Linked DNA regions of Arabidopsis thaliana. The protein of the gene in region 3 interacts with the protein of the main gene of each other region in a pairwise test. Each region holds a gene or a part of one and is shown on either strand. Other genes may lie near its edges. The genes, in order: DBP1, CPL3, BMY2 and TRY.

Evidence for each region.
Region 1: the proteins of BMY2 (region 3) and DBP1 interact in a two-hybrid assay, tested with the Arabidopsis thaliana proteins (one large-scale study listed by BioGRID).
Region 2: the proteins of BMY2 (region 3) and CPL3 interact in a two-hybrid assay, tested with the Arabidopsis thaliana proteins (one large-scale study listed by BioGRID).
Region 4: the proteins of BMY2 (region 3) and TRY interact in a two-hybrid assay, tested with the Arabidopsis thaliana proteins (one large-scale study listed by BioGRID).

What each region holds. Positions count from the first base shown.
Region 1 is NC_003071.7:10,902,216-10,908,253, reverse strand, and holds DBP1 (DNA-binding protein phosphatase 1), read left to right. Parts: upstream 1-2,986; 5' UTR 2,987-3,275; coding exon 3,276-3,458; intron 3,459-3,674; coding exon 3,675-3,881; intron 3,882-3,992; coding exon 3,993-4,204; intron 4,205-4,523; coding exon 4,524-5,100; 3' UTR 5,101-5,259; exon of another isoform or gene 5,260-5,377; 3' UTR 5,378-5,538; downstream 5,539-6,038. Other genes in the region: AT2G25625 (histone deacetylase-like protein), read right to left, coding at 1,155-1,512, 1,592-1,692; AT2G25610 (ATPase, F0/V0 complex, subunit C protein), read left to right, coding at 5,613-5,881, 5,969-6,038.
Region 2 is NC_003075.7:458,504-462,684, reverse strand, and holds CPL3 (CAPRICE-like MYB3), read right to left. Parts: upstream 2,207-4,181; 5' UTR 2,152-2,206; coding exon 2,088-2,151; intron 1,990-2,087; coding exon 1,896-1,989; intron 1,794-1,895; coding exon 1,718-1,793; 3' UTR 1,611-1,717; downstream 1-1,610. Other genes in the region: GT72B1 (UDP-Glycosyltransferase superfamily protein), read left to right, coding at 1-827. UniProt on the Arabidopsis thaliana protein: MYB-type transcription factor involved in epidermal cell fate specification. Acts as a negative regulator of trichome development, including endoreplication, by mediating lateral inhibition.
Region 3 is NC_003076.8:18,351,004-18,357,728, forward strand, and holds BMY2 (beta-amylase 2), read left to right. Parts: upstream 1-2,521; 5' UTR 2,522-2,590; coding exon 2,591-3,109; intron 3,110-3,282; coding exon 3,283-3,510; intron 3,511-3,594; coding exon 3,595-3,675; intron 3,676-3,818; coding exon 3,819-4,022; intron 4,023-4,145; coding exon 4,146-4,340; intron 4,341-4,461; coding exon 4,462-4,626; intron 4,627-4,715; coding exon 4,716-4,976; intron 4,977-5,057; coding exon 5,058-5,270; intron 5,271-5,358; coding exon 5,359-5,578; intron 5,579-5,667; coding exon 5,668-5,693; 3' UTR 5,694-5,885; downstream 5,886-6,725. Other genes in the region: AT5G45290 (RING/U-box superfamily protein), read right to left, coding at 1-814, 889-1,089.
Region 4 is NC_003076.8:21,579,981-21,585,221, reverse strand, and holds TRY (Homeodomain-like superfamily protein), read right to left. Parts: upstream 2,609-5,241; 5' UTR 2,310-2,608; coding exon 2,246-2,309; intron 1,953-2,245; coding exon 1,865-1,952; intron 1,431-1,864; coding exon 1,262-1,430; 3' UTR 979-1,261; downstream 1-978. UniProt on the Arabidopsis thaliana protein: Transcription factor. Involved in epidermal cell fate specification. Negative regulator of trichome development, including endoreplication, by lateral inhibition involving intercellular interactions.

The DNA.
Region 1 (6,038 bases), on a different chromosome or scaffold from region 3:
TATAAATAGAGAAATGTAAGATAGAGATGGTGTAACAAATCTTTTAATTTTTACTTGTCCATAATTAGTGAATAGAAGACTATTGAAATGATCTTATCTAGTTGTCTTTCTAGTAGGAAAAAATTAGAAACACACTTGTAAATATTTTCCTTTTTCTTGTAACTACTTTTTTTATCCAACAATTTTGTAAATTCCCAAAATAATTCAAATAACTCTCTCAAGACTCCATTATAAACTATTCTTTTTTTTGTTAAATCCATTATAAACTATTCACAATGATCTTAACTAGTTATCGTCTTTATGATTTATGTCTCGAGAGAGTTATTTGAAATATCTAAGAAATTTACAAAAAAAAATGTTTTCTGTAAGTTTCAAACTAGTTTTAGAAAATCGTGAGTGTGGATTTGCATAAGATGATCAAGCTGTGTCCATTTTCTTGTTAACGTAGGTCTCTTATTGCAAAACCAATTTTTTCTTCTTCTTCTCTTCATGCTACGAGTCTTTTCTCTCTCGCTAAGGCTAATCTCCCTTTATTCTCTCACCATTCTTGTAAAAGCAAAGAACATGAGCATCAAGAAATTAAATTATTGAAGGTCCGACATGGAAGTGAAATTTGTAGAGTTGTAGTTAAACTTTGAAATACGAGGCCGAAATCAAACTAATCGTTGGAGTGACATAGAGTTGGGCTTCACTTTGGATCGATAATAGGCCAACTCATTTCAGTAGGAAGTACTTGGAGTGTTTTTCTTTTGTACTACACGCATGTACTACTTTTCTTTCATTTCACATCCAATAGAGTACTACTTTAACACACAAAGCTGAAAACTCCCAAAATTTGGTAGGATACAAGATTACAAAACAAAGAAAAAAAGGACGGACCAAAACTAATCGTGCACATAAAGATCTCAATGAATTTAATGAGTTAATTATTTTTATACGGTTCGATTTAAACCAAAAATCAAAAATGGCATCCTCAAAGAAAATTTTGCATGAATTAAAGACCAGTTTGGTTCAATGTTTTGTCATCAGTAACTACACAAACAAATACTTAAAATTTAATATATCTACAATAGTTTTTGTGTGTATTATTTGTTTCTAATTGACTTTTTTTACACCTGCCTAACAATCTCCCTTACACGTAATGAACTTCCAATTTACACGGAGAAACAACCACCCCTGTTGACACGTGTCATCACCACACCGACCGGCGGTGCATCACCCTTAGCTAATCCGGCTAACTCCAAACGTCGATGAGCAGACGGACGAGGAAGATTCTCCGGTACGATGGTCTCTAGCGAGTTCTCAAGCCAAGGCGGACACGTCCTCTTGTCACTCCACCTCCGCGGCGGCACCACACCCGCAGCCATCTCTTCTACCGGCGATTTCACAACCGCAGCTTCCACTGATGCAACATCATTGATCTGAATCCCGCCGATTACGACAGTTGCCGCCACCCCCAAGACAAAAGAACACTTGTTTTTCCGTGGCTCTGTCTCATTTTCTGTTCTCCTACTAAACAATAAAAGAACAAAGATCATTGATATGAAAAATTATCAGGTAAATAATAACTTTTCATGAATAGAAGAGATACCAAGAGATCTTTGACGTTGTCTTGAGCAGTGAAGCTAATGATTGTGCAGAATTTGAATCTAGGGGAGGAAGATTTAGACAGCAGCTTATTCTCCCTGCCATTGTTATTCCTCTGTTTTCGTTTCCTTCTTTTTCTTAAGAATCCACCTAGAACAAATTTTATTTTATTCCTTTCACCTCCAACATATATATAACTACTAACCCATTCTTACTTGGGTCACTCATTTTTTCTTACTATATATGTATCCTCAAATTATTACATTTCATATGCGCATGCAATACAAACCACATCTAAATTTTTCTTCCAATATGTTCTTTCTCTATACTTAACTAAAGCCCAAAGAATGAACTTAACCTAGAAAAGATGGACTTGACCCAATAGCATTGGTCCGTTGGAGATGTTAGGTCCATACTCCATACAAAGACAAATTGAACAAAAGTCGTGAATCTGTTTGCTACGTCTGAATAACAACGTACACGTATCACGCCTTGCGAACAAATTATTTGACAATGATGGCCAATTAGCATGTGTCATCACTTGTTACCACGTCAACAAGGTTCTTGTCGGTCCGTTTAATTAATAGTAACCATCGTTTTCAGGAAAAAAATCCACATAAAAAGTTTCTAATGGCGAAACAATATTCAAATATTTCCTAACAACTACCATGAGACTGATTCTTTTTCTCTTCCGAAAAATTAATGAGACTGAGTCCTAATTTTTCTTATAGTTAATTTGGTGACCATCAAAGAATGTAAAAGTATTTAGGAAACAGCACAAATAATCTGGCAATTACGGTCTACAACATGTTTATTTACTTATTTTTAAATTATAGAAAAATTTAATATTTTAATATCTTATATTTAATGCCCTAAATAACACTAAATCACACATATAAATAGCAGAGATATAAATATAGAAAAACATTCCAAGCATTTTTCAGTACTTAACATTTATACAGAAAAACAATTAAACATTTTTCAGCACTTAATAATTAACATATGTGAGAAATTCATAAACTCTATTAAATATTCATGAAAATAATGTATTTTTAATTTTATAAGTAATATCTCATGTGTCGACTTTTTTTATATAAAAAAGATGTAAAAAAGGTCCCAAGTTACTAAAATTCAATTTTGTCAACTTAACTCAAAATCTTTTTGCTATTAGTCTAAAATTTCAGATTTCCTTTCTTGCTATTTTTCAAAATACTATGTTTACTTCTCATATAAACTGTAAATATATCCCTTTTTTAATAAGAAAAAAAATCTCTCACTTCAAAAACAAAAAGGAAAAAAAAAAGCAAAGAGAAAAAGTAAATAATACGCCGACGTTTCGTGTTTATGTTAAGCTTCCTTTTTCCTTTTTCCTTTTTCTTTTTGCCTTTTAAATAACCGTCGGACTCATATTTCTCGCCTCCGCCGGCGAACAGTTTTATTATCTCTCTCTTTCTGCGTGTTCCAATTTCTTCCACAAAACCCTAATTTTCTCTTAAACCCTGAAATTCGTGTAACCTTTCAACAATCTCTTCAATTTTGTTTTCGATTCTGAATCCATTGTTTACGAATCTCTCATCTAAAGCTACATTCTTCGTTAAATCGTTTTTAATCGACTCGCTCACTCGTGAGTTGACTCGTCAGCTGTTTCCATAATTGCTTATTGAATTTTTATACGATGATGTTTCAATATGGAAGAAACTAGAGGAATTTCTGATCCAGAGAATGGGAGTTCGAGTTACGGCGGTAAACCGCCGAATCCACTCTCCTTCTCTTCTTCCTCCGCCGCTGCTGCCGTTTACAGGCAAACCTTCGACGGCGAGCGATCGTTGGCGCCGTGTAATAAGAGGTCACTGGTTCGACACTCATCTCTCGTAAGATTCGTTTCTCTTCAACTTGATTTGTGGATCAGTTAGGTTTATTTTGTGTATTGAATGATCAATTTAAGTTGAGGTTTTGTAATTATTGCTCTGCTTTTGGATTTGATCATTATTGGTTTCCTAATGTGTATAATTAAGGTAGAAAGTTTCTGTTTTTAATGTGTCATTATGAGATGTTTGAGGTTTTCTGATTGATTTTCATTTTGGTAGGTGAAGACAATGGTGTCAGATATATCTGTTGAGAATGAGTTTACTATAGAGAAGAACAAGTCTGAGTTTGTTCCTGCTACGCGTTCTGGAGCTTGGTCTGATATTGGCTCCAGGTCAAGCATGGAAGATGCTTATCTATGCGTTGATAATTTCATGGATAGCTTTGGCCTTCTGAATTCTGAGGCTGGTCCAAGTGCCTTCTATGGGGTATGTTCTTTCTTCAGTTTTCCTGATTTTTTGTAGATTTGTAGCATAAGCAAACAACTGTGAATGTAGTGAAAATATGGGGATCTCTTATTGAATTTTGTTTGTTATTAGGTATTTGATGGACATGGTGGGAAGCATGCCGCTGAGTTTGCATGTCACCATATACCGAGGTACATTGTTGAAGATCAAGAGTTTCCTAGTGAAATCAATAAGGTGTTATCTTCAGCATTTCTTCAAACAGACACTGCCTTCTTAGAGGCGTGTTCATTGGATGGGAGCCTTGCTTCAGGAACTACTGCTTTGGCAGCTATTCTTTTTGGAAGGTTTGTTGATTCAACTCTTATTATCTTTTAGTTTTGTCTAACCTAAACTCTTACATCTTGGTTATGTTAAAGAAAAACGTGTTTGGGAATAGATGCTTATCCTCAACTGCGTAGTGTGCATAATCTTGACCTTTAACACAATCATGTACAACTAATTCGCCTGTAGATGTATTCTCTGCCCATATGTGCTGCTGCTATAATGTAGTTATTGTCTCATATGGTCTTTGAGTCACGTATATACTTGCTCATTTCATACTCTATTAGTATTCTGGTATGAAACCGTTTGGTACCGTGTTAACATATAGTTTTGTGGTAACAGGTCGTTGGTGGTAGCAAACGCTGGAGATTGCAGAGCAGTCTTATCCCGTCAGGGAAAAGCCATTGAAATGTCAAGAGACCACAAACCCATGAGCAGTAAGGAAAGGAGACGCATTGAAGCATCGGGTGGACATGTATTCGATGGCTATCTAAATGGACAACTTAATGTGGCTCGAGCGCTAGGTGACTTTCATATGGAAGGCATGAAGAAGAAGAAAGATGGTTCTGATTGTGGACCTCTAATTGCAGAGCCTGAGCTCATGACAACAAAACTAACAGAAGAGGATGAGTTCCTTATAATTGGGTGTGACGGGGTTTGGGATGTGTTCATGAGCCAGAATGCTGTAGATTTTGCCAGAAGGAGACTACAGGAGCACAATGACCCGGTCATGTGTAGTAAGGAGCTGGTTGAGGAAGCTTTGAAGAGGAAGAGTGCTGATAATGTGACGGCAGTGGTTGTGTGTCTTCAGCCACAGCCACCACCGAACTTGGTAGCGCCGAGGTTGAGAGTTCACAGAAGCTTCTCGGCGGAGGGTTTAAAAGATTTACAGAGCTACTTGGATGGCTTGGGAAACTAATTGGGGGACATGAGGATGGTGACGAATGATTGATTTCTCTGTTTTTGTTTTGTCTTTTCTTACAATTTTATAGTTTGGGGTTTGGAGGTTTTGTTCTGTTAAATTCTCGCAATTTGAGTAAGTTATAACATGAGGCGGCATACAATAATTTATTGTTTGGTAGGATATATTTTTTTGTCACTTTTGCATAATAATAATTCTGCTTCAGTCTCATTTGTTTTGTAACTAGAAAGTTATTCCAATTCCTGCGTTTACCGAATATGTTGTGTTCTTGCAGAATGACGTATGTTAGATATGCAGTAAACTCGAGGGTCGGCTTTGACCACATCGCCACTTATCGGTTTGCGGATGCTGGAAAAGTCAGTCTAGTGATGAGGCTGAGTGAGCCATCGTCAGTTACTATTTTATCGTGAAACTCTGAACAACGAGATTGTCCCGGATATTCAAATGAGGAACAAGGCCCAATAGTCCGATCAAAGTGGGCTATTCGTATCGCTTACGAGGCCTATACGATGGTAATTGAATTCACGCGCATTCATCAGCGCGTGATTTGGAGTTGCTCAATTTCAGATCGCACAGGCTCTGTTAATCATCTCCTCCTCCGAAAGACAGAGAAAGAGACAAATCAAATTCATTCATATCAAAGAGATAGAGAGAAAATGTCCGGTGTGGCTATTCATGCGAGTTCATGGGGCGCGGCTCTGGTGAGAATCTCCCCGTACACTTTCTCCGCCATCGGAATCGCCATCTCCATCGGCGTCTCTGTTCTTGGTGCTGCCTGGTATAAATCCTTTTCTTCTTCTCCCCATTGATTTGCGAAATCATCATGCTTACGAAAACTATTTTGCTCTCTCTCTTTATGGTTTAGGGGAATTTACATTACCGGAAGTAGTTTGATCGGTGCCGCCATTGAAGCTCCTCGAATCACTTCCAAGAAT
Region 2 (4,181 bases), on a different chromosome or scaffold from region 3:
AAGCCGAAGGTATTCTTGTGAATACCTTCTTTGAGCTAGAGCCAAATGCTATAAAGGCCTTGCAAGAACCGGGTCTTGATAAACCACCGGTTTATCCGGTTGGACCGTTGGTTAACATTGGTAAGCAAGAGGCTAAGCAAACCGAAGAGTCTGAATGTTTAAAGTGGTTGGATAACCAGCCGCTCGGTTCGGTTTTATATGTGTCCTTTGGTAGTGGCGGTACCCTCACATGTGAGCAGCTCAATGAGCTTGCTCTTGGTCTTGCAGATAGTGAGCAACGGTTTCTTTGGGTCATACGAAGTCCTAGTGGGATCGCTAATTCGTCGTATTTTGATTCACATAGCCAAACAGATCCATTGACATTTTTACCACCGGGATTTTTAGAGCGGACTAAAAAAAGAGGTTTTGTGATCCCTTTTTGGGCTCCACAAGCCCAAGTCTTGGCGCATCCATCCACGGGAGGATTTTTAACTCATTGTGGATGGAATTCGACTCTAGAGAGTGTAGTAAGCGGTATTCCACTTATAGCATGGCCATTATACGCAGAACAGAAGATGAATGCGGTTTTGTTGAGTGAAGATATTCGTGCGGCACTTAGGCCGCGTGCCGGGGACGATGGGTTAGTTAGAAGAGAAGAGGTGGCTAGAGTGGTAAAAGGATTGATGGAAGGTGAAGAAGGCAAAGGAGTGAGGAACAAGATGAAGGAGTTGAAGGAAGCAGCTTGTAGGGTGTTGAAGGATGATGGGACTTCGACAAAAGCACTTAGTCTTGTGGCCTTAAAGTGGAAAGCCCACAAAAAAGAGTTAGAGCAAAATGGCAACCACTAAATATTTGATGTTCTAATATGATTTGTATAATCAACGGTGGGATTTGTGCAAATGTGTTTCTGTATGTATATGTATGTTCTACTTTTCTTTGCTTCGTTTGTCTCAACTTTTATTTGTATATGTTTTTGGCTTTTGATTAATTCGTAGAAGATGTTGCAATTAAGATCAGCTTAGAAGAAGATGTTGCATATATAGTTAAATATTGTTCAAGAGAATCATCAATTGTCTATCGTCAATAGTTAAATATATATATGGCTTATAAAAATAACAGTTTGTTCAAGTTCTAAACATTTGTTGCAATCTCAAGAGTTACATATATAGATCATCAGTGAGACACATAGATTTCAACAATATGTTTGTTTGGTAATGAGATACGTTATGGGTTTTTATTGAAGATCGTCCGTTTCGTGGTTATGGATCAGAGATTAAGGAAAAACTAAAAGTCTAAAACGTGGATGACCAAGAAAATAAGTGTGTGTGTGTGGAGTAGGTGAAATAGCGTTAACGACAAATATACAGAAAACATGTGTGGGACCTGAAGACAGCATGTCATTTTATGACTTGTAAAACGACTTCCACTTTTGTTTTGTTTTGAAGTAGGTTATTTGCCACTTTCATGTGTCAAGTGTTTAAGGCTTTAAGCAGAAATTAATGAAATATCCACGTACAACATCTACGACTTAGCTTCTAGAAATTACTAGGATGGCAAAAAAATAAATTTAGGCTTGGAAGGCCCAAATATTCGTAGCCCACACAATAAATGGTTCTTGAGAGTTAAATGGTTTGGGATTTAAGAAAGTTTTCTTCTTATAACAGAGTTGGTAAATTTAAAATACAACGGAATATAATCGAAACAATCAGTGAAACTATAGAGATATATTGATCACTTTTCAATTTTTCATGACCCAAAACCTCTCAATTTCTCCAGCGGTTCTTCCTGGGATCCTCCCAGCTATCAGTTCCCACCTTTCATCAAATAATAACACACAAAATTCAGCTTTTACTATGGTGTTACAATTAAATTATTTTCCTACGAAATAGTATTCATTATTAGTTAAAAGATCAAACCTGTCACCGACAAGCTTATGCATTCGAGAGACCAAATCTTCTTCTTCTTGACTCATGTTCACAACTTCCCACTCAAGACTACTCACTTCTGTTCCTTGTCATCACCAAAATTCAGATTTCTCATTATATATAGATAAGTATAAAAAAACATGGAAAAATGAGAAAACGAAGGTGTTTAAGTTTTCAGCTTACCTTCAGAAGAAGAAGTAACGATGGAGTTGGTCTTGGGTTGCTTAGTCCTGCGATGGTTATCCATGTCAAACGGCACCGTATTACAAAGAAGAAGAAGAAAGAAACTAAGAGAGTACTCTGAGAGAGTGGTCGTATTTTGAAGGTTGCACACGAACCATCATTTCTATTTATAGCAACTAACCAAATCAAGTAACCAACGGTCCAACGGGTTTGGTCGGTTTCTATGTTAAAGGATTTTAATTTACTAAATTGGTTTTGTTCTCATTAATTATATTAATTATTGTTAGCTATCTTTGCAAGTTGCAAGTTTGCAACCAATAAAAACCACAAGTACCCGTGACTTCATTTACTCCGTTGTGATGGCTTGGACTGGAACATAAGTTGTATAAATATTGATACATGCCGTTAATTAAGATCATTAATAATCAACAACAATTGTTTTCAAAGCTTTTCTGATTGCTATTCCAGTTCATTCAATCAGAAATTATACTCCCTTTGTTCATAATAGATTGAAATTTTGGATATATTAAGACAAAATCATTTTTAATTATTTTAACATTACTTTTTGTATCAAACATTTTTCAATGCCTAAGAAAAACTTACAAAACTATTGTCCTCGTGTACGTTTGTAAAACACAATAATATTTTCAACCATTCATGTTTTCTCGGCGAGTTTGTTTCACTAAACTGATTGTTTTCATCATTTAGCTTAATTGCTAATAACACATAACTTTCTATAAATTGGATTAATACCATGAAAAGAATAGAATCTACATTATTTAAATTAAAACAATGATCCCCCAATCATGTCTCTTTAATATTTAAGATATACTATAACGTGTCCATCACAAAAGTAAATGAGTGTCACTACGAAAGATGAAAATGGGTTGGATACTTGCATCCTCAATCATGCAAATTTGGTCCTAAATTGGCTTAAAGCCAAAAAAAACAAAAAACAAAGTGGTCCTCGCAGTAAGCAACGTGTCGTGTGTTCGTTACAACTGCTTTATTGGTTCGGGTTATTCAACACTATTACCTGCAATAAAATCTAGTAACAACTTTTTTCATAGTATATCGATCGTTAGATCATCTATATATACATAAGAGGACCTATAAATAAACTTACAAGTCCACGAAGGGAATATCCCCAAGGCAAGACTATATTTAATTGCCATCCCTAGCAAACTTTCAACTTAACCTTTTTCAGTGCTAACAATATATTCTCAGTAAATTCCGAATTTAAGTTTGGAATGAGGAAGAGAAACGTATATTCTCAGACTAACACCTGATTTAATTAATGTGGTCTTGTTCTTTACTAAGTTAATATTATGAGTGACACATTAACACTAACCGATTTTATTAATGGGGTTTGTCAATTGTCATTTGGTTCAGTAAGAAGAAGGAGAAATATGTTTTTGTCGAAGCGTCCTCAAGCTTATCATTTGATGCAATGCGTGGTAGAGCAACATATATGTTTGCGATTAAAATGGTAATCTAGAGCAACATGTTTCATTACTTAATGAAAAACGGAGTCAACACATAAAAATATATCATCATACATTGTCACAATATATACGTTTAGTGGCTTGCCAATGACCATATTTTAGAGGATGCATAAACTTTGATAGATAATTTGTTGCATGCAAAAGCTATCTATAGCCATGTAATACTTGTAACCATCGGATAAAGAAGTGTTATATGCGAGTTGCAAACCATCCATGGTCATCATTATATTGGCCTGAAGAACATCTTTAACAAAAGATAAAATGAGTGGATTGAACCACATATGGAGATTGATGAAGATTTCATTCTAAAAACATTTCAAAGCCAAGAACTAATGGGCATCCACTTTTTACATCAATGCAACACTTTTTAGATGAGATGAAGATTTCATTCTAAACATTTAGTTAAACGTCTAGTTTAGGCATCCACTTTGTTCATCAATGCAACACTTTATAGATGCCGATTAACGCATAGCACTTAATAAAGGAAACATGGATTATTCTACACATTGGTTTATGCTAAGTATATGTCACACTTTTCATTACCCCATTTAACCTTTTTGTTATGTATAGGGAATCCAGAATAAGAGAA
Region 3 (6,725 bases):
CATGATCCTGAATGCCGAATAAGGTCCTTCGAATGCTAGAAGCGGAACGATTTAGTATAGACGTTGAAGTCACAGGAGCATCCTCTGCTGCTGCGGTTTCAGCAGAGAAGAGATCAGTATCTTCTTCTCCCTGATGTGGCGAGGGACGGAATGCGAAATCAGAGAGTGAAGATCGGCGAAGAACTCTATCACGGAGTCTTCCAACACTCAGAGTTCTACTAAATCTAACATTGCGCTCAATAGAAGGTTCTCGTACAACATGTCTTCTATCAAGAAGTCCAGCATAAGTACTATCCATACCATTAACTACTCTCGGAGAACGTAAGCTACCATCTTCCCCAAATCTCATGGCATCAATATCTCTAACTACATTGTCAATCACAGGAATTCTCGGAGACTCAACTCTATCATTGAGCCTAATAGCAGATTCTGAAGGTGAAGTAACACCATCTTCTCTATGAGAAGAAGAGACTGGATAAGTCGTGTTGAAGGATCTTGAACTTGAAGCTCTGCTAAGTCTAGAGCTTATGTTACCAGGAATGAATTTGAAATGCGAAAAAACTCGACCTGGAGTAGAAGATTCTTGAATCGAACCGCTAACATTTCTCATCTGTACATTGCTTACACTAGCTTCCTCTTCTTCTTCTTCAACACCACACTCATCATCAAGCTCAAGCTCATCACAATGTCTTTCGTTTTCAGATTTCTTATCATCTTTCAATTCTTTATCATAGCAATCTGATGCATCTCTTCTCGATTCCATTCTACGCCGTGTAACACTTCCATGACTCTTCCTCATCCATCCATTACACACCTGAAGAAATCAAAACTCATGAACTTGACCTAATTTCAGATTTGACCAAAATAAATTAAATATCAAAACCAGACCTGTTCATCATTATCATCATCACTGTAATGAGAAGTAGAAGATGAAGCAAGACAAGAAGAGTGAAGACCACAAAAAAGACTCTTTGATCTTCTTCTCCTTCCACCACCACTAGAAGACGACGGAGGAGGTTGAGCCACGTCAGAAGCTTCTCTCGCCATCGCCGACGAGCCTAGACATGATTTGCTCCGGCCAGATCCCATCTTCTTCTCAAAAGCAAACAACTTTCTGCTAAAATTACATCATTGACACAAGACCCACAAGTCTTTTCCCCATCTTCTTCAAATCCACCAATCGAAGAAACCTCCAAGTCAAAATCTAAAGATCGAAACTTTTTCCTCAGATCTTTACATTGAAACCCGAATTCGTCATTGACAATGCAGAATCAAAAGCCCTAATTATTGAATCCCCAGATCTGAAACTCGATCGAGATTGCAAGAATACCTCGAAATCTGAACTTTTTTTATTGCGAGAAATTAATGTAGGAACTAAGCTATGTGTGTTGTCTTTGAATCAAAGAGAAATGCTTTGAAGAAAAGGAAAGATTTTTAGGTGATCGGAGTAATCGAAGAAGGAGACAAAGCACCTATCTGCGATAGAGAGAGAGACTTTTACGGGAAGAGTGTGTCTTGATGTTCGAACGAGAGGGAACAAAAAACCAAACTCACCATTTCTTTATTTTTCTTTCTTTTCTTTTTCAAACTATTATAACATTCTTTTGTTTTCGTTCGATTTTTTAATCTTTTTTGCAATCATAATTGGACTTCATTGAGGACTATAATTGAGAAAAAAGCTTTGAAATGGTCATTGAACAGTGATCACTTAGATGAAAAATAGTTGTAACCAAACCAAACTAGAATATTCAAACTATACTCAAAACTGAAATTTTGTTGACAAAGCCTTTTGGTTTTATAAATTGCGAAGCAGAAATACAAAATCGAACCAAAATCGAACCAAAATCGAATCTATATTCTCAAAAATTAAAATATAATTGAACTACACTAACTTCAAAGAAAGAAAGAAAAAAGATATATTAAAAATAGAAAAAAAAAATGAGTTGAAAAAAGTAAATCACAATAAACTAAAATATACAAATCATTTTTTTTTATGAAGTGATTGTTTTCAGTATTTTACAATTTAGATATAGTGGCATTCTAGCTTCAGAAGATTTTTGTTGGACCGGCCCTGTAAAGTCGATTTAAAGACCAAACAAAAACTAATTTTAACATGATAAAATCGAATCAAATAAACGGAAATTCATTAACATTTTATTTATAATTATAATGTTAATTTTACTAAAACCTACCTAAAATAAAAACCTGAGTCAAAATATGTAAACTAATTTTAACATGATTTTGGTTTGATTTACTAAACCAAAATCAAATCAAAAGACAAATTATGTATTTATGTTATTCAGTTTTTCTTTTCTAAACTAATAAAACCATGAAAAAAAGGATTGGAAACAAAACCGTAAAACCCATCGTGTCATTCCTAACAAACCCATCAGTAATTCAGTATCACTTTGTCAAAACTGGTCACATTGGCTATTGTTGAACAAAAAAAAAAGAGAGGTTTTTGACCAAAAAAAAAAAAAAAAAAGGAGGGGTTAATATTGACGATTTTGATAATGAGAGACTTTTAACGTAATTTATAATAATTACCGACGTTGATTTGTAAATCCATAAAGTTACAAAAAAATCTCAAATGTGGGAACAGCACAGAAGCGAGCAACTTCACCGCACAAAAATGCATACTCTCAACAACACCATCACCACCACCACCGGTTCGCAAGATCCGAATCTCGACCCAATTCCAGACCCGGATCAATTTCCCAACCGGAACCGCAACCAACCACAATCTCGCCGCCCTCGCGGATTCGCCGCTGCAGCAGCAGCAGCGTCGATAGCTCCAACGGAAAACGATGTAAACAACGGAAACATCGCCGGAATCGGCGGTGGAGAAGGAAGCAGCGGCGGCGGAGGAGGTGGAGGAGGGAAAGGGAAGAGAGAGAGGGAGAAGGAAAAAGAGAGAACGAAGCTTAGAGAAAGACATAGACGAGCAATCACTAGTAGAATGCTCGCCGGATTAAGACAGTACGGTAATTTTCCGTTACCGGCGCGTGCTGATATGAATGACGTAATCGCTGCTTTGGCTCGTGAAGCTGGTTGGAGTGTTGAAGCCGATGGTACTACTTATCGGCAATCACAGCAACCAAATCATGTGGTTCAAACTTCGAAACTCTCTCTCTCAAAATTCAAACTTTCATATTAAGCTATTTAAGTTAGGGTTTAGTGGAAAGATGATAAATTTGATCCCAAATATGTGTGAAGCTCTTAAAGTTATAAGCTTTGTTCTGTTATTAATGTAACATAGATTGTTTAATATTATTGGATTAGGTACAGTTTCCGACGAGATCTATTGAGAGTCCACTTTCTTCTAGTACATTGAAGAACTGTGCTAAGGCTGCAATTGAATCTCAGCAGCATTCAGTTCTTAGGAACGATGAGAAACTTGCTCCTGTGTCTCTTGATTCTATTGGTATTGCCGAGAGTGATCATCCCGGGAATGGAAGGTATACTAGTGTTAGTCCTATCACCTCCGTTGGATGCTTGGAAGCCAATCAGGTGAATGATAAATTCATTTCCTTATTAGGAGAATTGACTTTAAGCTGGACGTTGTTTCATCTAACCACTTTGTTTTTCTTTCAGCTTATACAAGATGTTCATTCCGCAGAGCAATGTAATGACTTCACAGAGAGCTTTTATGTCCCTGTGTACGCCATGCTTCCAGTGAGCTTCTGATGAGAGAACTTTGTGTTTTAAGTGTATATATATGGATGTTGCCCAATAAAAAAGAGTGTACATATATTTCTTACCAGTTTTGCCGCGATCCTTAGTTTTCCTGTGCTAAAGTTCTGTACCTTGTCTTTCAGGTTGGCATTATAGACAACTTTGGCCAGTTGGTTGATCCTGAAGGTGTAAGACAAGAATTAAGTTACATGAAGTCATTAAATGTCGATGGAGTAGTAATAGATTGTTGGTGGGGAATAGTTGAAGGATGGAACCCTCAGAAATATGTATGGTCTGGCTATAGGGAGCTCTTTAACCTTATCAGAGACTTCAAACTTAAGCTACAGGTGTGAATATTTTTACTTGTAGAGCTTTGTTAAATACATCCTATGTGACCAAACTGTGACTTTCCCTATAAAGGACCGTCTTTTTCATAATATCTTAGCAATCAGTATATGGTTTGTTTGAAGGTGGTGATGGCATTTCATGAGTATGGAGGGAATGCATCTGGGAATGTGATGATTTCGTTGCCACAGTGGGTGTTGAAGATTGGGAAAGACAATCCAGACATTTTTTTCACTGATCGTGAAGGAAGAAGAAGTTTCGAGTGTTTGAATTGGAGCATTGACAAGGAACGGGTATTGCATGGACGAACTGGTATAGAGGTACTCAAAGAACACTCATTGCTCAGAAATTGTTCAGTATTTTGGTATATTATGTCTCATTTCCTCCTCTTTTGTACTGTCTAGATTCTTATTTCTTCCTTTTCAACACTTGATTATCCAGGTCTATTTTGATTTTATGAGAAGCTTCCGGTCAGAGTTTGATGACTTGTTTGTGGAAGGACTAATTACTGCGGTTGAGATTGGTCTTGGAGCTTCTGGTGAACTAAAGTACCCATCTTTCCCAGAAAGGATGGGTTGGATTTATCCCGGTATCGGTGAGTTTCAGGTATTTTTCAGATTGCTGAACTTTACTTCTACGTTCTAACTTATGACTAGTGAAGTTAACATATCAATTTACTATTTTTCCTATTGCAGTGTTATGACAAATATTCGCAATTGAGTCTGCAAAAGGAAGCAAAGTCACGAGGATTCACTTTCTGGGGTAAAGGACCAGAGAATGCTGGTCAATACAGTTCTCATCCACATGAAACTGTGTTCTTCCAAGAAAGAGGTGAATATGACAGCTATTATGGCCGCTTCTTCTTAAATTGGTACTCACAATTGCTAATTGGTCATGCTGAGAATGTTCTGTCTCTTGCAAATCTCGCATTTGAGGAGACGAAGATTATTGTCAAGGTATAATCCTTTTGGCACTTATCCTTCAAACCCAGTGATGCCTATAACAATGAGACTCATACACCAAAAACAACAATGCAGATACCGGCAATATACTGGTCATACAAGACAGCTAGTCATGCTGCTGAATTAACTGCAGGATACTACAACCCTTCAAACCGTGATGGGTACTCTCTTGTTTTCGAAACTCTGAAGAAATATTCCGTGACTGTGAAGTTTGTGTGCCCTGGGCCACAAATGTCTCCCAATGCGCATGAAGAAGCATTAGCTGATCCAGAAGGTTTAAGTTGGCAGGTAATGACACTTTTTATTGATGACTATAGCTTTTTTTACTTCTCAGCAAATGTAATCTTAACCCTAAAGTTTTGGTTATTTGTGGCAGGTGATCAACGCAGCTTGGGATAAGGGACTTCAAATCGGTGGAGAGAATGCGATTACTTGTTTCGACAGAGATGGTTGTATGAGATTAATCGATATAGCTAAACCAAGAAACCATCCAGATGGCTATCACTTCTCCTTCTTCACATATCGTCAACCTTCTCCTCTGGTTCAAGGATCTACTTGCTTTCCAGATTTGGACTACTTCATTAAACGCATGCATGGTAAGATTTACCCGCACGCTTGATTGTGCCTTCCCTTTAGATTCGTTGTCAAAATCTTTGTTCTTACAACTATATTTGTTTCTTTGCAGGCGACATAAGAGATAAACAGTTTTAGGATTTGCATGGTCTTAGGATTCTTTTAGTAAGTGTCTTTTGTTTAAAACTTCAAAATCTGTTTTGTTTTGTTTATTCTCTCCTCAAGGCCTATATTTAAGACGATTGATCTTGTAATCTTTAAACACCTTAACACTTCACTAGTTGAAGATGAACTAACTAATTAAATTCTTAAATGCATTCTAATCCGACTCGCGTAAAGTAGACACTTGTTTAGTTTTATTTTGAAAAATACAAGAAGGTATTGATGTCTAATGAATACAACCGAAAAGTGTTGCCTAACTCTTATACCTTTTTGTCTAAATTATTCTTAGAATAACCTTTTTGACTATATATGCCCGAATCCGATTACATTAATGGTATTAATAATTTTTGTTCAAAGTTACATTTTTCTTTTGTATCATTCAAATAATATTCTGATAAAATCCTGATTTTTCATGATTGTATTTGACATTTTAGATCCAACCAAATCTTTGAAGAACAAATAAAGAGGGGAAAAAAAGACCAACATGTCCTTTTGCATTCAGTGTTAATTCATGGACAATATAATGTTGGTCCGTACGAAAATTTGATTTTGTATCTAAAGAAGCATAAGAAATAGGGTTAGTTAACCACAACGAACAAAGCCTCTATTATACATATCTAAATGTGGGATAATGAGGCAAAATGTCCAATATGATTAATGAAAAAGATGGAAAAAAAGTCTTAGGTGGTGTGTGATTTAAACTGTGTTTTAATTACTTTAAATGATATGAAAAATCTGTTATTATTTAATCAAGATTCTATTAAATTCTGTTAAAGTTTTTTTTTTAGTAGTAGAGGGGAAACAACCGTCTCCCGCAATTTATTGAAACTGAAAAGAAATTACAAAACGGTAGGCGGGTGAGCCTCGGAAACGCAGTTCCTCGGACATCCTCCCTTACAATCTCCTCCACCAATGAGGGAGCTAAATCAAACTAATGAATACCTAAAGATAGATTAAAAGCATAGTTCGCTAACCCGTCTGCAAGGCTGTTAGCCTCCCTATATACAT
Region 4 (5,241 bases), 3.2 Mb from region 3:
AAAAGTTAGTTTTAGACGCAAACCGTCCGTTCATTAGTCGTTTACCAATGAGAATCACGTTTTTTAAATAGACGTTTAGGATGATCTCATATAGTACTTTTTATCGTGTTGGTAGAAAGTTTTCAAACTGATAATTTTTTGTATGAAAGGCAATACTATATATAGATTCTTTATTTCTTAAAACGTTTATAGAAAAATTAAGTTCATACTTCATACTTCATAGTCCTACATATATATAGCTAGTGCAAGCATGTAACACCTAATATTTAAGTGATTGTGAAAATAAGTGTTCATAACTTTTGGTTAGAATTGGATCGGGGTTTTTATTTTAGTTACATTTTTTTTAAAGTATAGATACATTATGTCATTAATTCTGTAATAATTTTTTTAAGTAGTTTCTTCAAAATATACTAGTCAACTATAACTAATGGAGTATTTCTTTTTTTTTTTTTACTATTTAAAATTATTGTCATTAGTTAAAATATTACCCAACCATTTTTGCACAAATGATCAGTTTCCTCTTGATAAGTTCTTTCAAAGGACTAAATCTAATACACAATTTTTTTTACTTTCTAATTACTGATGTATTAGAGAATATAAAATATATTAGAGAATATAAAATATAAAATGTTACTATATATAAAATTAAACTATAAAATATAAATGTATTAGAGAATGATACAATTTGTAAAACTTTTATATGTAATAAATAATTCTCAAATTTTTAAAATTACTACTTTAAAAATAAATCACGGGATGGGTAAAGAAATTACAGAACAGATTTTATTTTGGAATTGAGTTATATGGTGGATGTATTTGAATCAATATTTATAAATTTTTAAAATATTATTAATATGCTGTTTTAGTAAGGGTTAAAACTTCAGTTTTTTAACAATTGTCTCATGGATTCGTTGTATAGCGTTACTTAATAACAATTATAAACTGTAAAATAAAAATATTTTATAAAAATAAAATTTGCAAGTTTTAATATATATTAACTTTAAAAAGTAAATTATACCGCGATATACCGCGGATTAAAATCTAGTTGTGGATATAAAAGTCGTAGACGAGAAAATAAAAAAACCTAACCGCATGGATTAAAGTTGATTACCAAATGAAACCTATACTATAAAAATTATAAATGAAATAACAACAAAAAGAAAACAATAGATGATGAATTCTTCAAACTAACAAGAACCACTACTATACATCTATTATAATTTTTTTATTTTCTTTTTTCGTTGGCTTAAAAACAAAAACACTAGGAAGGATAGATAGAAAAGCGAGGACGGTGAGGCTTGGTATGTTTGTGGGAAGATGAGTGAAGCTGGCGTCGTTTATCAGCAAAGCCTTCACTGTTTCTCATTATCCAATATCTCTCTATCTCCTCTGGTTGTCTTCCAGGAACTCTTCCTGCTATCAAATCCCACCTAATTCAAAAGAAAAAAAAAAACATTTTTATCCCAAGCATTAGCATTTATATTTTCATAATAAAATATAATTTGTCAGTTCAAAAATTTCCATTTTTGAGCCAGCCAAGCATTTATATACATGAGTACGTACTGATAAGAATAGTAAATTAGGTTCTTATTTTTATCTCTATATATATGTGTGTACATATATAATTTAATGAACGTGATAGCTTTAATTAAATGTCTTTTTTTAGAAAATTAGTGGACACCATGTGCTTCCCCTACAACATGGTACACTGTACATATGTTATAAAGTACATATGCTTAAATTAACGTATGTAAAATTGTATATACCTGCATATTAAATTGTTTTAGCTAGACATGTCTAAAATATAAAATTTATTTTATGCTGGGATAATCTTAGAAAAAGTAGAAGAAGAAGAAATTGTTACCTATCACCGACAAGTCTGTACATTCGAAAGATGAGATCTTCTTCTTGTTCAGTCATGTTGATAAACTCCCATTCGATACTGCTCACTTCTGCAAATAACAATATTAAACCAATTAAACTCAAAACAATATTAAACTAACAAAAAAAGACAAATATAAACTTTTTAAAAAGATATTAATTTTTGTTAAAACTAGAAACTAATCTTGATAAGTCTTTTAGTCAGCACGAGGTGTAACTAATTTAGAAGTAATTAAACGTATCCCTCGTTTTAACGAATATATACAAAGAGAATATGATCCTAGCTAGGAACTAAATTTATTTTCAAGATGTTTAATAAAATTGGATTTAGGAAATAGAAAATATATAGAGAATAGAGAGGTACCTTCAGAGTCATGGAGGGCGATTTTGTGTTGCTTACGACGGCGACGACGGTCAGTGTTATCCATTACTATTGAAGTAAGAAAAGAAAAATAGAGAGAAATTAATGTGATGAAATTTTGAGTTTGGAGAATGTAAGGAAAAAAAGACGTGAGAGATGAGAGTTTATAGAGCGAACAAGAAGAAGAAGAGGGGAGGAGAGAGAAGGAAATGTCCAACGAACGGCCTTTGCAAAACTAATAGTAAGAAGTGTTGTGTGGTCTTGTTGACCTCTTACCCTTTGTGTAGACTTGTCGTTGACACTCAAATACACATGGAGATGAAGTCTTTTATTGGGATTTGTAAGTATTTTGAAGGCTAACTTTGTTCTCATTCGTAGATCCTAACAATTTTTTTTTTCCATTTATTCAATTTTTCTAAACCTACTATCTTTTTAGAATAATGGGATTTATTGATTTTTATTTGGCAGATGCAAGTTCAACGATGTTTTAGTTATTGATTTGTTGTTGTTCTTTCCATTTTTGTATTCAAGTCCAATTTGTATTTCTAAGAAAATTAGTTGTTATTAGGTTATTAGTTTTTCAAGTTTTTTTTTCAGGGTTGGACATACACACCAAACCGTACCGAATAAAAATTCTTGAACCAAAAATAAACTTATTTTTTTTTCCATATAGTAACAAATTAGTTTCACTATATACACTAAAATGAATCTAATTCGAACCTTAATCTAGTGCATGAAAATGAAACAAAATCTAATCGATCAAATTTATTAAAATTGTCCATTGTGTTTGTTATTAAACGCTATGTTTGAGCCAAAACACATACATATTTTGATAGTCATCATTGTCACTACAATTAGTTATTTTATTTTGATAGTTATTATAATGTAGGAATAAGTTAGATATCTTACAACTTTACTTAAAAGATAACGTCACCCAATATAAAACATGGGAATAATATTTATATCAATATATATAGAAAATACTTTTTAATATATTAATTAGATAGTTATTTATATTATTTTATTAATATTTTAAATAAACCAAACTAAAATTTATTTTAATTTAGAGAAATATTATTAAAATCGAAAAAACCAAACAAAACGGAAAATCGAAGGCCTATACCTAATATTCCCACTTAATATAGTACGTATGTTAATTAATTCATTAATCAACATGTTCATATTTTCATTCGTTATACAAGAAGTCTCATTCCCGATTGACTTTTCTTTCATCTCCACGAAGAGGTTGAAACAGAAATTTTTTGGCACAATAAAAAACATGATTCAGATTTTATCCCAAAATCACACAATGTTTTTAATATAATAATTCCACTTCTCCGAATAATTTAACATTTTAACCCCTGTTTTTTAATTCTACATTTGACATATGTTTTAATTCTAGAACAGTGACTAAGACATTACATACGACGCTGTATGGCAACTCCTTACACACGCGATTTAATGAGTGCTTCTGGAGAAATTCAATCTCTCACACATGATACAACCAAAATCCCTGATTTGCGTTTTCTTCGAAATATTTAAATCTATTATAAATCTGAATCGACCCATTAAACTAACGTATTTAATTCGAGTGAGAAACATCATATATAAAGTACGCTTCTCAATAAATTTTGTAAGAAAGTATACAATTACTATCATATTCTCACGAAAGAGATTTTCAAAATATAAAGTACCCTACCAGATAATTCATAATTGGATAAAAGATTAAACGGAAGAAATCTGTAGTCTACGGCGAAAGACATCGTGTGAGGCGAGTCATGTGATGTATATCGCATCATCCTCATTGCATAGAAACTGTGTATTATGTGATAGATTTGGAATTTTTTTAATAGGAAGCCTAGTTGGTAAAATATCTCTTTACTCGAAGCTTAAATACAATATAGCAATATAAATGATTTTCATAAACTTTTGATAAACAAATCAATTCGATATCGAAGAATGCATCAATGAAAATGTGTCTTTAGTTTGGAGCTAAAAGAACGAAATTGGTTTGCATAGCTAAACTAATGTCTAAAATTCTGGTACAAAAGGACAAAGATGTGATTACCTTTTCTATTATTTGATTATATCAACAACAACAAAGATGTGACATGTTGCCTCCTAGAAAGATTTTTCATAATAGCAATCACTATCCATTTCTCTTTCCACTTTAATTAAAATTAAAACTCTTGTACAAATTATTCTTTTTGGTTGAACAATAAATTTGATATTACACAAGAAAAGAAGATAGATTACTCGTAAAAGAACTGCTATTAAGGAATATTTTTGTAGTTAATAAGAAAGTTATAAGAGAAAGAAAAGAAATATTGAACCGATTTGAAACATGGTTGCAGCTGTTGGTAGATCAATTCAACTAACATTCTTAGGCCTAAATAAACATATATTTATTTGTAACGTATCGAATGATTACACATATTATACGAGTGCCCCCATACATGCATGTATATAGGAGTATTTTATATTTTATTAAACCTGGGTCATTAAAATATTAATTTAAACCCCACAAAGTAAAAGCTCGAATCAAATAATAAAACTTGTTGAACTGTAGATGTTTTGATTGGTTAACAACATTGTTGACAACATTTAAGGTGGTCCAATGAATGTTTCTGCTGCTTTCAGTTGGAAAAGCGTTATATACGAATTGAGTATATTCACTTAACCGCTTACACTCTTATGCAACATATGAGTATTTGCGGTTTTTAACAAGATGGAAAACGTGATATTTTAGAAGATGATAAGGTTTCTTCACTACATGACTATATATGAGTGAGTAGCCCCATCCACAAACAACATATGAAGTAAATTTATATTTGACTAACATTTAATAGGTCATAGAGTTATGAGAAATGAGGAGACGATGTAGTTTATTTCTTTTAGACTCGAATCGAATGAGGTGTGAAATTCCTTCTTCTTCTATTTTGTTCTATCGTATTTGTGAGTTGTTCTGGTTTTTTGGATCGATACGTTTTCATCCAGGG